3 linked regions of the Neurospora crassa OR74A genome follow. The protein of the gene in region 2 interacts with the protein of the main gene of each other region in a pairwise test. Links are inferred from orthologs where the notes say so. Each region holds a gene or a part of one and is shown on either strand. Other genes may lie near its edges.

Evidence for each region.
Region 1: the proteins of NCU00488 (region 2) and NCU03786 interact in binary tests that used the Schizosaccharomyces pombe proteins (3 or more experiments, as listed by UniProt). The link is inferred for Neurospora crassa OR74A from reciprocal best matches to the Schizosaccharomyces pombe genes paa1 and par1.
Region 3: the proteins of NCU00488 (region 2) and rgb-1 interact in binary tests that used the Schizosaccharomyces pombe proteins (3 or more experiments, as listed by UniProt). The link is inferred for Neurospora crassa OR74A from reciprocal best matches to the Schizosaccharomyces pombe genes paa1 and pab1.

Annotation. Positions count from the first base shown.
Region 1 is NC_026505.1:2,408,063-2,412,776, forward strand, and holds the start of NCU03786 (serine/threonine protein phosphatase 2A), read right to left. Parts: upstream 3,389-4,714; 5' UTR 2,690-3,388; coding exon 2,666-2,689; intron 2,595-2,665; coding exon 2,238-2,594; intron 2,176-2,237; coding exon 1,219-2,175; intron 1,164-1,218; coding exon 865-1,163; intron 810-864; coding exon 434-809; 3' UTR 1-433. UniProt on the Schizosaccharomyces pombe protein: The B regulatory subunit might modulate substrate selectivity and catalytic activity, and might also direct the localization of the catalytic enzyme to a particular subcellular compartment. Has a role in cell shape control and septum formation.
Region 2 is NC_026503.1:4,029,416-4,034,447, forward strand, and holds the start of NCU00488 (protein phosphatase PP2A regulatory subunit A), read right to left. Parts: upstream 2,999-5,032; 5' UTR 2,274-2,998; coding exon 2,208-2,273; intron 2,118-2,207; coding exon 2,012-2,117; intron 1,901-2,011; coding exon 1,749-1,900; intron 1,681-1,748; coding exon 1,189-1,680; intron 1,121-1,188; coding exon 861-1,120; intron 804-860; coding exon 365-803; intron 306-364; coding exon 1-305. Other genes in the region: NCU11185 (protein phosphatase), read right to left, coding at 3,630-5,032. UniProt on the Schizosaccharomyces pombe protein: Phosphatase 2A affects a variety of biological processes in the cell such as transcription, cell cycle progression and cellular morphogenesis, and provides an initial identification of critical substrates for this phosphatase.
Region 3 is NC_026501.1:3,523,524-3,528,545, forward strand, and holds the start of rgb-1 (protein phosphatase PP2A regulatory subunit B), read right to left. Parts: upstream 3,062-5,022; 5' UTR 2,137-3,061; coding exon 2,093-2,136; intron 1,847-2,092; coding exon 1,806-1,846; intron 1,701-1,805; coding exon 1,603-1,700; intron 1,508-1,602; coding exon 856-1,507; intron 736-855; coding exon 149-735; intron 74-148; coding exon 50-73; 3' UTR 1-49. Other genes in the region: NCU09376 (hypothetical protein), read left to right, coding at 4,178-5,022. UniProt on the Schizosaccharomyces pombe protein: Phosphatase 2A affects a variety of biological processes in the cell such as transcription, cell cycle progression and cellular morphogenesis, and provides an initial identification of critical substrates for this phosphatase.

The sequences.
Region 1 (4,714 bases), on a different chromosome or scaffold from region 2:
AAAAGCATTTCTTTTTTTTCGGTTGGTAAGTCGGGCTGGCTAAGAATTGAAGTAAACTGGAATGGAATCATGACGCCGTTAAAAACTCTCTAAAAGTGGTGGTTAAGTCCCTGAGACCTATGTGCCAAAGTTGTGTGCTGTCTGTCTGTTGCGCTGCCGCCTTCTGCCGCCTGCCTGACTGCTTGCCCATTTCATGTCCTTGTCCGTCCTCTTGTCATGGTTTCGACGTATATAAGACCGGCCGGCAAAAAAGCCCCTGTTCAGCCTTGTTTCCCTGCTTCCTTCAACTTCCTTCTTCCTCCAATCGCGTGATGACGGGTTTTCCCAGCTTCGTACATGACTTTGACACCGAACAATGCCCGTGGCCTTGAGCTCCAAGATAAAATAAAAAAGAACAACACGCCTGAAAAGACAGCTCCTTCGTGAAGGCGTATTACCGACTTCTGGATGAACCTACTGAGCTTTGCCTCTCGTGCATCCCGGGTCGTCGCTCCCTTCTATCACCATCCTGCAACTTCAAAGAATCCAGCCTCTTTTGATTATCCTCTGTACCGTCTACTTCTTCTAGGCGAGGCAGCGGGTGGACAGTGGTGCGAGCTGGGATAGAGCTGGTGCCATTGGATGTTCCACTTTCTACTTTCCTCTGCTTCGCGAGTTCTTCGAGTCGAGCCCATTTGCTCTGGCGATGAGCTTCCCTTGCAGGGGCGTTGCTTTGGTTTTCCGTGTACTCGTGGGAGCAATCATCGAATAGCTGCGGGTTGATTTCCATAAATAGCTTCATAGCGTTATATACCATGCCGTGGATGGTTCTATTTTCGGTTAGTCGTGATACCTCAAAATATGTGATGTTGTTCAAACACGTACCTATTCCAATGTCCCTTGGAGTTTTCGTAGAGAGGAGCGAACATGATGGGGAGAATGATCTCGACATTGTCGCTCACGAGATTGCAGAAGTACTCGTTGTTCCAGAAATACAAAGCTCTCTCGGCGACCTGGAAGTGCGGGCTGGCAACCGATTTGGCGAGCTGATGGAACAGAGGTTCTTGGACCTTGGCGAACTCAGCCGGGTCCATGACCTCGAAGATGTCTTCAACCTCGTTGAGAAACATGACCTCCTTGGTGCTGTTGACCTTGGGCCAATAACGGAGAAGTCCGAGAACAACCTGAGACAAATGTTAGCTTATGGTGGGGTCGCAAAAGACGGGGTGTGTCACATGCCTCTTCTGTCAAGGAAGCATCCTTCTCCAGGAACTGCACGATGCAGTACGCCAATTGGGGATGGTACATGCTCAGACTCTTGACCTTGTGAAGAGGAAGCAATACTCTGGTAAGGAAAAGCTTGTGCTCCTCCTTGAGAGGGAGCGCAAAACCGTTGATGATTGACCCAAGAATTTCGAGCAGTTCGGCAATACCATTGAATCTTTCAGTTTCGTACGTGAACTGGAAAAAGACGTTGTTGATAGAGCGGCGGATGAAGGACCTCAGGTTGAGGAACTTGCCGTAGATACGATGCAGAGTCGTCTTTAAAAAGTCCCGTTCTCTGGGGTCCTCGGAGTCGAAGAGCTCGAGTAGCTGAAGAACGAAGCTATGATCGATATACGCCTTGGCAATATTGGTGTTGAAATCTTGACTTTCAATGAACCGGAGGAAGAACTCATAGACAACTTGAATATGCGGCCAGGCAACCTCCAGGACCGGTTCATCCTCTTCGGGATCGAAAGCTTCACCCTGCGGGTTCATGGGAGGAGGAATTGGGCGGAATAAGTTCTTTGCAAACATCTCAACCACACGCGGATACATTGGCTCAGTGATGACTTGCCGGTTATTAGCGACATAATCCAGCAGCTCGTGAAGGGCCAATCGCTTGATCTCCTTGGACTTCATGTCGGCGCTCGCATCATTGAAGTCAAAGATGACGTTGCACTGCTCGATCTTCTTCATGAACAGATCCTGGCGGTGATTGGGGGCCACCTCATGGAAGCCCGGGAGCTTCTCGAGCTCGCGATGGGCTGAGATGTCGAACCGCGACGAGTTCTGCCTCTTTGGCGTCCTGAGCCCTTCCAGGACGTCTTTGGGGGTCTGGTGTAAACGGTCAAACATAAGCGACTTTTGTCCGGCTTTTGGAGGAGCGAGATCGTGCGGCATCGTTTCCGCGGCGCCGGGAGGTGGGACATGCTACGACAACCAATCGTTAGTATTTCCATGGTCCAGGTACGGCAGTCCAAGGAGCTTCTTACCGGCGCGCTGGGGCTGATTATAACGGTAGGAGGAAGGGTGCCGTGACGGACAGGGGTGCTGCCGCCGTTGGCGCCCTGTTGCTGCCCCCCGATACTGCTGAATCTATCCGCTGCGCCAGGGTTCGAGTTGCCGCCTTGAGGGCCGAGCATGGAATTGCCGTGGTCGCCATGGGCCGCATTGTTAGGCGGCAATGGCTTGTTACGGCTGTCATTTACAAGTGTCGACGTAGACGATGAAGGGGTGAGAACGGGCGACTGGGTGGCCTCGCGAGAGCCTTGTGAGTTGGGGGAAGCTGTTCCGTCCTTCGCATCCTTATTCTTCTTGGACTTGGAATCCTTGTCCTTCGTCCTCGAGAGCTAGCACGACGGTGTAGCATTAGCGATCCGTTCCAACGGGACAGCTTACAGAAGACCTAGGGTTGACTTACGACTCTCTGGCTGAACCGCTTCATCTTTGAGGACAACAGTTTCTCTGCCTGTGGGGCGAGTGAAGGCTGCCCGACCTGAAGGTGGAGGGGTAATGAGGGCGCGGCGATAGTCTGATAGCTGCTGTATACGAAAAGGGGGTGGCTAGCCAAAGGCTAGGATGTGTGCCGAACAGCTCGCGGGTTTGAGACTGCGATGCCAACGGGCGGCCGGTCGCGGACTTGCTTCACCGAAAGCTCTACGTCCCGCCTGGATGTCGAAGAGGAGGGGTGCAGTGCGTCAGAGCGAACTTCCGACCACAAGCCCGACTGTGGCTGGCAGTATAAATGGGAACGACGCCGCGTTGGATGATGGCGAGGCCACGGCGTGTCAATCGACTTTGTGTAGTTGCCCGACGGCCGATTGAATGGTAACCTTGGTAGGATAGTTAATGCTAGGGGTGTCGGCGACGGGAGTCGGGGGAGCGCGCTCTCTCGATGGTGGCAGAGGCAACGGCTACAGCAGCAGTAGCAGGGTGAAATGCTCTGAGGGCGCACGGCGAACTGGCGGAGTAACGGAATCAAAGCCGCGCGGGATCGGATGACAAGTCAAGGTGACGACAACAAGCGCAGGGTGTCTCGTCGACGGCGGGCGTGCTGGCGTGGTAGGTGTTGCTGTAGGGACGTTGCCGGATGGGAGTTGGGAATTGGTGCTTCCAAGTCCAGTGTGTGTTTTGGGACCTTTGGGGGGGGGGGGGGGGAGGGGGGGATGAAGCGAATGCCAGAGAGAGGGACGAACTTGCTGGTTCGATGGAGGTGCGAGACGGGACTCTTGAGAGTAGGTAGGGTGCTGTTAAAGAATCAGGTAGCGCCAGCACCAATCCGCTAAACAAGCCAGAAGTGGAAGTCTGGGTGGTAGATCTGCCCAGTGAGTGTAGGCCCAGATGAGCCAGGCCCAGGATGTTGCTGCGGGGCTGGACGGGATGCAATCGCGGGACCCAAAGCCGAGTGTGAGGGTGCCAGGTGCCAGGTGATGTGGCTGTTTGTCCAATGGTCCAGTCCCTTGTCGCTTCCACTCTTCGTTGGTGGTGAGTGTACACTAGAGGTACAACGCGGAGTCGAAGCCGAGCTGTGTGAGAAATTCCCTTCGGACGCTGGAGCTGCTCACTCGGCTGCGTCAACTCGCTTCCAACTTTGTTAGGTTCACTAGAGGTATGTTGGGTTGTTGGAGGTCCGAGCGGTGTGTTTTGTGGCTGTCAACTACCTGCCTAGGCTCCTAGGTTAGGTAAGGTACGGTACCTAAGGTAGTCAGGTACCGACGTAGCAAAGTCGTGGACAGACGCAAAAGCTTGTAAATGAATGGGAAGGTGATGATCGCCTAAAAAGACCCCGGACGGAACCTTGAATCAGGTTTTACTAAGGGACGGTCTTGTACGAAGCTTCAAAGAGGTGTAACAGCAGCTACCTCTATAGGGACGGTTGTTGTTACCATGTCCTTGACAATTACATGCAGAGTGAAGACGGGCTCGAGGCTGAAACGGCAAAGAGAACACTGCACTTTCTTTCCTCTGTTGTAGCTCGGTTTCGCAAAGTGCCCGAGCAGATTCCCTGAAGTAGTAGCGCCCAAGGGGAAGCTGATCTAGATACGCCGGCGCGCTTATTACGGCCTGGAGATGATCACCCGAACAGGGCGAAAGGACGTCCAGGGAATGGAAATGGGATGGCGAGGCTGAAATGTTATTCCGTTGCTGGTGTGCCGTGGAAGCGGATGTCACCAGGCAATTCAAGAGTTGTGTAGGTAGGCTGCGCTATCGCTGTACTAACTTTACGTACATAGAAAACGCTAGGGGAAATAATAGGCCAGCGATAGAGATCAAGCACAACAGGTCCCCTCTAGGGGAGGTATACTGCGGTAGTCTTAACCGATGTGTCCATGCTTGGAGGTGGCCCCGAGCCCCAGTCTTGGTAATTACAGGTGTCAATGATCTCCACTCGAATGAACTGCAGGCGTTCATTTAGCGCCATGCAGGGTGTCTTGGGCCCATTTCCAGTGCTCCCCACAGGTTCTTCCTT
Region 2 (5,032 bases):
GCCGCAGCAGTCGTCGCAAAGTACCGCACATCCACATCATCATCCTTTTGCAACTTCTCCAAGCACGGCATGATGCGCTGCTGGATGAGCTCCTGACCCTTGGGCGACGGGGTGGCAGGCTTGCCCTCCTTCTCTAGCGTATAGATGGTGCCCTCGTCGGGCAGACGACGCAGAACACCGATGATGATGCCATATGTCTTTGCGACGTTAAAGCGAATATTGGGGATCGAATCGGCTGTGAGCTTTTCCAGCATCGGAAGGATGGACTTGGCAATCACATCCAGACTGACAACGGTAGCCAGGGTCTGTAAACACTAGTCAGACAGGGACTTCACTGATTTTCGTATGCCATTGAGTCTCTTACCGTGATAGCAAAGCAAGTGGTCATCCGGTAAAGGTAGTTGGGGTGGGCACCCATAGCCATAACCTTGGGAATAATAGCCTCGCTTGCCCACTCAACACCAAACACCTCGGTCAGCTTCCTTAGGTTTTGAGTAGCGGCCTCACGAATGGAGAAAACAGTATCTCCGAGCCAGCCCATGCAAAGCTGGCTGAGCTTCTCGTCAAAAAACTTGACGCCCAGCTGGCTGGCAAGAAGCGGGATGTAGTCGATAATAGCCAAGCGTACACGCCACTGCTTATCTTCGGCTAGCTGTACAATGGCCGGAAGGAGAGACTGAGAAAGGAGGTCGATGCCGATAACTTGGTTCACAAGCTCCAGTTTGCTGATGATGTGAAGGCGAACCTCTGGGAACTCGTCCTTGAGCATCTGAAGGAACATGGGCAGAAGATGATCAATAGTCCTTGTGCAATAATTAGCATACGCATCAAAGAAACCGTGTCTGACTGCGGGAACGTACTCTTGCTTGCCCAAGATAGGAGCGAGGCCGCTGATTTGTGTGCCAAGGGCAGCTCTGACATGCTGGGAGCTATCCGAGACGAGATCCTCAACACTTCCCATGATGTCATTCAGGAGAACGTTGCGGTCAACCAAAGCACAGAAGCCAGGGATCTGGCCGGCGATGGCAGTCCGCACCTCAGCCTCGTTATCTTTCAGGAGTTTTACGAATGCAGGAACAAGATCTCTGGACACAACCTCATCATCAACCGCCTTCGCAATCTGTATGTGCTGTTAGTCATCCAAGAATTGATATGAGGGGAGGCCAAGTGCTTAGCGCGACCACGAACCTTCTCAAATCTGTCGGCGATCATATAGCGGACCCTCCAACTCTTGTCCTCTATCAAGCTGCGTAGCGATGTGAGGAGCACGGTGTGGCTGGCTTGTTGCTCTTTGGGCACAACCTCCGCAATAGAGATCAAAATCTCGACTGTAAGGAGTCTGACGCTGTCCTGGTCGTCCTGGGCGAGGTGTTGGAACATGGGTATCATTTCCTCGATAACGATGGGAGCCGGCATCTCCTTCACGAACTTGGCCATGTTGGTGGCGGCCTGACGGCGCACCATGGGGGTCTCATCGTGGACGAGCTGTCCAAACTGCTGGCGCAATTGTTCTTGAATAGGCGGCGAAACTTTCGAGTAGGGGGTTGTATACAGGCCGCATGCGGAAACCTTGGACGTAAACCAGTCGGCCTTGGAGAGGCGAATCGTAAGAGGGATAAAGTATTCTTCAACTTGCTGCGAAGAGAGTTGAGTGCAGATCTTGTTCAATGATTCGACAGCCTAAAACGTTTGTCAGTACACATGCGGGTCGCATGACAAGAAGCCAGGAAATGGTCACGTATCCGTACCTTGTCTCGCACCACGGGCTCCTCGATAGCAGCGAGGTTCTCAAGGGGGGAAAGAAGGACATGTCCCCATGCGGGGCCCCCCACGTACTCGACAAAGTTACCAAGCTCTTCACTCAGGGCAACGAGGACCTCATCTTCATCTTCAACCGATTCTGCATTCAGAAGTGTCAGCAGCCGTATCTCAAGAGTCCCAGCGGCTGTGTAGCCAGAGGCCGGCGCAGGTGGGTTTGCTAGGCTGAAGCTGGGTCGAAGGGTTGGCTAACCATCGAGAAAGGGAATCAGCTCCTCGCGAGTGCGCTCGGGACCCAAAGCAAGGGCGATAGTCGAAAGACGGTGGATGGCGTTTAATCGGAGGACGACCTCGTCGTGCTGCCCAAAGTCAATCAGGGTTTACAGTCCATCAACCAGACAAGAAGGGATAGTCAGGGGTTCTGGCCGTCCGGGTCACCGCCATCATACCTTCAATTCGTCGATTAGCACGGCGATGGGGAAGAGCTCGTCGTTCGCGTTCGTCGCGTCGGCCATTGTGGGCGATTTGTGAAGTGGACGCGGAAGATCGCGGGGGAGTATACAGTCGGCGAGCGAGGCGGATTTGGACAAACTGGTTGACTTGGTACGGATGTTCGCTTGCGGGCGTGATGCAATAGACGGGGGGGTGTGGACTGGACTGGTAGCCGGTCGGGCGACGCTGTGCGGCGGCGGTACCAGTGACTGTGATTGTGGTAGAGAGAGGAAAGTGGATGCGTGCGTGTGCGCAACTTGGTAACTGCGTTGCTTGGGCGGGCAGCTAGGTAGGTAGGTAGGTTTGTTGTATTTAGGTTGGTTTTGGTTGCTTGGTTGAAAAAGAAAAAGCAAGAGTGACGCTTCGTCGGGTCGAAATCGGAATTGGATGCGATCTCTCAGCAGTAAGGTAGTTTCGCACACGGCGCCACGACACGGCGGGCAGCAAGCAGGCAAAGAAGGAATGATACTGGACGGTTTTGCTTGATAATAGGTAAGGGTTGCTTGATGGAGGGTTGACGGTGGTTCCTGTTCGGGGGGAGGACTCACCTACACCTAGAGGTGGAGATCGGAGCGAGCTTGGTGGTCCCCGCAGGGCCGCAACAAGGAGGAGCAGCAACAGCAGCAGCCAGGGCAGCAGGGCAGCAGGGCAGCACTTAAGGTCGCCTAACCAACGGCGGGACACAGCTGGACCCGGTCTTCGACACAAATTGACCTGACGCGCAAAGCTGGGGTCCAGTTCATGACGGGGGCCGGGCGGACAAGGGTGAGAACTGAGAAGGAGCACTGGCCACTCGCCATTTCAGCTTGGGACGTAGCCGCCCGTTCCCGTCGTAGGGGTGGCCCCTCAAGGCGCACCGGGCACCACTTACGTAGGTACCTACTTGCTGCACCACGAGAGTTAGGTAGGTAGGTACCTCTATCAATGAACCACTTCTTTCGCTTCCAACTCGCGACGTAAGCCGCTCTTTCTGTTCAACTTACATTTCTTCGTGAGGTCAGGTTGTTGGAAAACACTGCAGACTGACATAAAAAGGAGGTGCTACAGCTCCGGAAGAATGGCAACAGCCATCAAGATGCAAGAAGGGGAGAATGTTTAACACCAACTAACTGCCTTGTTACAGCCTAAGGTGAGTTGTTACAACATCACGTATTCCAATTCTGACTCACTAAAACATCATCACATGTTAATACTGATACTGGTTTGGGAATGTATGCTGTTCATATTTTGCTGTCTTATAAAGTCAGGCATTACTGCAACTAAAGCATCGCTAACCTTGCTTCATCAGGGAGCATGCTGTTCCAACGTGCTATTCTCATAACGGGAACCAATTGCCCACATATTATTCTACTCTTTCTCCAACATTCTTCACCACTCATCTAACTCATACTCTTCATCTCCTGCTCCGCCAGTTCGTTTTGCGAATTCCGCCCGGAATCAGAGCCAGATCCTCCAATCGAACTTCGCCCTGTGCTCCCACCGGTGCCGCCGCCAAACATAGCCTTTCCAAGCGACAATCCGGAAATCCTCTCCTGAAGAGCTGCAAAAGTGCCCGTAGGATCTCCAGCGGCGACATTCCGGTTTGGTGGCGCCGGACTTCTAGTCCCGGGCGTCAGAACCTCGTGGGCCGACTCCACGCCTGCATGCACGGACCCTCCGGCCGCGGTAGCTGCCAAGCCCGGCGGCAGCGGGCTCCGGGTGGGGCTTACCGATGTCCGCGATGGGGCGCCGGACGATGGTGGGTTGCTGTTCACATCAATCGTACCCGCATCGACAGGCCTTGAAAGCTCTGATGACGACGAAGCTTGCTGATACGCAGCAACACGCTCTGCTGTTGCGGCCAAGGCATTGAGGTCGCCATTCATCTCATCATCCGTCCGGTTGAAGAGTTGGTGCCACCACCGCACGTCGTCGCAGCGAGGGAATAGTATACGCTCACGGCCCCTGACGTGGTCGTCAACTGTGGCATCGTACTGCTCGTTCGTGAACTCCGAGCGCCGGCTCAGAAAGTAGGCCCACACGCTTCTTGTACGTTCTTGTAACCGTGCTTCGTGGCGCTGGCGCTCGTTGTTGAACAAAAAGGTACCGTACTGACAAGAATACACATGGTAGTATAAGCGGCGCAGGAATCGTTCGTTAAACTCGAAGCGAGTCGGGTGTTGCCTGAGGAGCTGGTAGGTGGCGTCGAGGAACTGGTGGAAGACAGGCGAGATATCCTTGGGTCTTGTTGCCATATTTTCGGCAACAGCAGGTTCCACGCCGGTCTCGATAGGCGTCCCATCCGCATCAGTAACGGCTTCCTTCCCGCTGGCCGTTTTTTTGCTCCAAAATCGCTTCGCGCCGGCTATGGCGTTCTCAAAATGGTCTGCCCGACCATCATTTTCCCCTGGCTTCACGGCGGTCCCTGCAAGTGCATCGCCGTCCACTGTAAACCAGTCCTCATGACTTAGATGCCCTGACCGAAGGTGAAACATGTGTCCAAAAGACAGCCAATCCTTCTCAACCAGCACAATGAAGCCTTCGAGAGTGCGATAATAGGGATCAAGCATCAGCTGAGAAAGGGCACTGAGCTGGCTTGTGCGATCCCATCCATCGGAACAGTGAATGAGAACATTGGAGTGCTGGATACCTACTCTTTGTGCAATCAAGGCTGATCCGGACAAGATACCGCTTATGTGCTTCAGCCATTTACTCTTGGCCAAGAGTTCTTTGTTCGGTGGGAAAGGTGACACATCGGCGTCCTTGATGGCGCTGATGACCTTTTCTAGCGACTCTCGCATGA
Region 3 (5,022 bases), on a different chromosome or scaffold from region 2:
TGTGAAGGGAATCCCAATCACATCCATCCCCCCGCCTTCATCATTCTGCCTACAACGCGGAAAAGACAAATAGCTGTGGGAAAGATGGTTAGCTATCAATAGGGCCCAGATGAGGATGCGGTTAAGAACTAGCGGGGCAAGAACTTACGTTGTTGGTTGCTGCGATGGCGATGCTGTCCTCGAACGGATGCCAGCTCATATGGAGAATCTTCTTGTTGAAGTCGATTTGATCGGCGTCTGTCTCTTTACGCATCCTTTGGCCCTGGCCTGCCGCTGCCGGGCTTCCTGCCCGTGAATTTCCCTTCTTACCACCGTTAGCTGTGGGACTTGTCGACGAATTAATGGGTGTCGGCACCCCAACTTTCTTGGCCTTGAACGCCGACTTATCCGCTTGCAGGACGACCTCCACCTCCTTGTCGGGATCCGATGGGTAGATCATGAAGTTGTTGTTGTAGCTTCCTGTCATTACGTTCTTGGCGTCTCCAGAGAATACAACCTCGAATTTGTCAAAAATGCTGTCATTTTCGTATGTGTCGCAGAGTCTCGGCCTGAGGTGTTCATGAATTGGAATCGTCTTGACTGGCTGCCGCTCCATGTTGACATCCCAAATCTTGACCGTCAAGTAGTCGCGAGAAAGGATATACCGGCCGTCATGGGAGAATCGAACGTCGGAGATGGAAGATATGATTTCAGAGAAGAAAGATCGGGACGATGGGTCTTCTTCTTGTTCGAACACTATACAGGGAAGAAAAAAACGAATTGTAAGCAATGATCAGCGGAGAATAGAGATAAAAAAAAAAAAAAAAAAAAAAAAAAAAAAACACTTCAAACACAGTTCACCGAAATCCAACGTACTCTTTGCGTGCTGGTCGCACAACGCCCTTTCGCGCATATCTGCCAGCTTGATTGTGCCCTTAGAACTGGCATACATGAACCAGTTGCAGCTCAGAGGGTGGAACTCTGCGGCTGTAATGACCTCTGTCAATTCCTCCATGTTCGCCGGCTTGATGTCCACAATGTTGAAGCTCTGGTCTTGGATATTCAGATTCCATAGGTTGATCCGCAAATCATCACTGCTGATGAAGGTCTCGCCATCGCTGTTGACGGAAATGCTGTTGATGTGGTACGCATGAGCATTGGCATATGTTCTCCGAGGCACGGCGGCAACGACTGTGTCGTGATGGGTAAGCCTGGGTAGCTTGAGATCGGCGGGACTGCGAAACTGAGTATGAGGTAAGGCACGAGGTGCGCCTCCACCGCCGGCTACGCTTGCAGGCGTCAAATCATGGGATAGGTTGTTCTCGGCGACAACCTTAAGCGACTTCTCGAACACTTTCCATAGCTTGATCGTCTTATCGTTTGTCGAGAGGAGGTAGTGGGAGGCATTTTGTCTCCTGCACCACTTGATTTTATTGATCTTTTCCTCAATTTCAAGGGACTTGAGGTAGTCGAACTCGGGCTCGTGGGACTGAAATTCGGTATGAAACTTGTATTCGCAGGTTTTTTTCTGTCCACAGGTAAGCAAGACATAGACAAGAAGCGGGCCAGCAAATAAGCCGGAAGGGAAAGGGGAGAGGGGGGGTTTGCCGCAACTCCACTAACCGTCTCGTTCCGTTCAAATAGCACGACTCGTCCACCCTTATCACCAGTCGCCAAGTAGTTTCCGGTGTGGTCAAATTCTACCGTGGAGATGATATCGGCTGGTAAAGGCGGGTCAGTATGGCTGAGGGTATTGATGACGTGAGGAGGGGCATTGACGGGCTCCTGGTCGAGGGACCCGTCGTGGGAGGAGGGGTGGGTCGTACCTTCGGTGATGTCCTCAACATCTCCCTTGTCGCCGAAGCATCTATGACAAGATCTCAGTACGATGAAGTGGGGCAAACACAGGAAAACGAGGCGACGTCTCGTATAAAGAAGAGCGTTGACGGAGAAAGGCGTAGGTCAACGTGGAGCGGAGATCGGATCCAGCCGCGGGCGCGGGTACGGGCACAGGGACAGGCACGAGCGCAATCGCACAGAGACGGACGCTCGTGAGGCAGAAGTCGACGGGGATGGAAAACATGACGGAGGGTCAAGGAGGAGTTCGACTTACTGGGTAAACTTCCATGTCGGAGAGTTGGTATCTGTTTCCACCATCTTCAACGATTCCCGGGGCCGTGGGCGATGAGATCCCCACCTCTACCAGATATGGGACAAGGACGACGAGCGGACGGAGGGACAGACGGGCAACGGCGGCAAGGGACGACGTTCCCAAGGGCGATGATGGACAAGAAGAGATTTCACGAGCTCGAGGCGCGAAATCAAGGGATGGCGGAGAGACGGGAGTTGGAGATCTGGAGAGAGGTGCCCAACAGAGACCGGGTTAAAACACGTGGGTGCGCTATGGATGTTGTTGCAGGGAGCATATGTATGGATGAAGGTAAGGGTCGGTCGGGTAGGGAAAGACGGGAGGAAAGCAATAAGCAAACTTGGTAGGTGTTGAGGTAAGGTATGTAATGTACCTGGCTGGTGGGCGGTCGGGTGTGGTGGAAGCAGAGCCCGACCCGAGTGGTAGTAAGGTACGTAGGGCGACGAAAGGGAAGCAGACGGAGGTACGCCGGTAGCGCAGCGAGGTACCTAGGTAGCTGGGCGGAGGAGGACCTGATGGGGCCCGGGATGGAGGGTGTGAGGCTCAACGGCCAGACGGAAAACTACCTCTAAGTACCTAGTAGTGCAGCGATAAAGCGATTGAGGTGCGAACCTGAACCCAACTGAGAGAGTGTTTTTTGCCGCAGCGGCGAGACCTGGACAACTGAAGACTATGGGTGCCGACCGAGCGATAATCTGTCGTTGCTTCCTGGGAGCTGACTACCTCTGGACGTGGGCCGGTTTCCTGTTCGTGCTGCAGGTGCGCAAAGCCAAGTGAAGATGCGGGGTACGTCAAGCCGAGTGCTGTATGCGGATATGGCGTAAAGTGTTGTTGGTGAAGGGTTAGGTTGTTGCCTTTGCAAGATTGAGCAAAAGACGGATGGTGGATGGAGATGGAGATAGATGGGCCGAGATGTGGGAAGGAGCAAGCAAGGACGCCCTCATCCTGCCAGGGAGTTAAGCTTTGGCGATTGAAGGGAATGACGAGCTAGTTAGTTAGCGAGGTACGGAGTGGGCACGGGGTGGATGGGCGGGCGATGAGGTACCCTTTACTACATGCTAAGTAGGTACGTATGGTGGTAAGGTTGGCCCCTCCCTCCTCAACACAGGGGCATGGGGGCCCGTCAGCCCGTGCCCTCCATGCCCGCCCGTTCAGGCCTGCTCGGTGAATGGAAGATCTCGTCCAATACCCAGGGCCGCGCAGCTTCCACCAGTGAGCAATTGCGGGGTCCATTTATCCCGGGCGGCGACGAGATGGCATCTGCCATGTACAACTACGAGGTAGGCTCGTAGGTATATACCTACCTACCTAGTATCAACCTCTGCGCTAGGTATTGGGTGATGGTATACGGGCATCTACACCAGAAAGGCACACTCGCTTTGTGCCAGCTGACTAGCTATTGAACTTGGACGTATGCTATGGATCAAGAGCGCACTTTAAGTTGTCCGCATACGTCTTCAATAGCTCATAGCAAAGTATGGTCATGACCCGGCCTCTTAACACCGCTGAGGTCCGTCTCTGGATCCCATGATGGCATCATGGCTTTATTGTGCCCATGGCATGTGTTGGCGTGTGGTCCCGTCGCTTTGTTCAATATCTCTTGAGCCTTGCCATCCAATCGAACGGCCCCCACGGGTGCAACTGCAGCTCTTTCAGCTTCCGTCTTTTGTTCACAGGTACATATTCCATCAGACATGCCAGGACTGTCTAGTTCGCGACTGGACGGAAAAGTTTGGCAGGTCTGATATCCCTGTTACATGATAGATGTCATTCAAGGTGAGGAGTCTAAACTCCCCAGACGCTGCTGTAGCCTCACGGCCATGTCGAAACGCACATGCTGCATGAATCACCCCAAAAAAGCACGTGTGGTGTACTGGCCCGCCTTGAAACTTCGGGGTCTAGGTCTGACGTTGCGGATCTGCCGGGGAGCCGGGACTATATAAGTTACATGATATCCACCCTCCCCCGGTCCGCATCATTGCTCGGACCTGGCCACGGCATCCTTCGTCTTCTTGGATTTTTGACAGGTCATAGGGCCCCCACCTATTGATGTTGGGCAGCACGTTGCCGGTCCTTGATGTCTCTCCATCTCTTCCTTCTTATTATCATCTCATCGGTACGGCTCTTGTAACTCAACTCTCCCGCTTACACATCGATCTCAGCCCATCACTAGATTTATATGCACCCACCAATCTCATTGTGAGGTTGAAGATGGTGCCAATGCCTGAAAAGACCAAGGGTAAAGGAAAGGATGTTGGAACGTCGGAGGAATCAGTTGGTGCTGGTGATATAGGCCACAATGGGCAGACCGGGGGCGGGGACGATCTGCTTACCCGCATCGCCAAGTCAGCAACATCACTACCTTCAGCTTTGTTCTCCAAAGGTAACATGACCGGCGCAGTTTCGGGACTAGGCAACGGCGAGAAGGGAGAAGGCTCACGAGCGGCGGCAACAGTGGCAAGGGCCACGGGAAATCTCGAGCGCGTGGGTGAGAGTTCTGCCCCGCTTCATTCTGCCTCTCATGGCGGCGAGACCATCAGGTCAGCCCAGATTCAGGGACATGTTGCGATGCAAGAGGCTTCTTTCGCCGCCTTTCTTGACACCACCGAGCCTCTTACGGCGCCCGAAGGAGCAGGTGTATTGGAAGGGGCGTGGAATATGAGAGGCAATGTTCCGAGTTCGACAGTACCAGCAACAAACAACCAATGGACTCATTCTTTTCCGGCATCCACTGTCGCCGAACAGGAAGCGCGCGATGGCCAGGAAGTTGTAGCATTGCTCCGGGGTGATCTGAATCTGGATGCAGAGCTCGCAGGGCCGGAGGAGAATACAATATTGCCCGATGACATGGCCAGCTTGCGCAAGGCTTTATTCGGGAACGACGATCCCGGCAG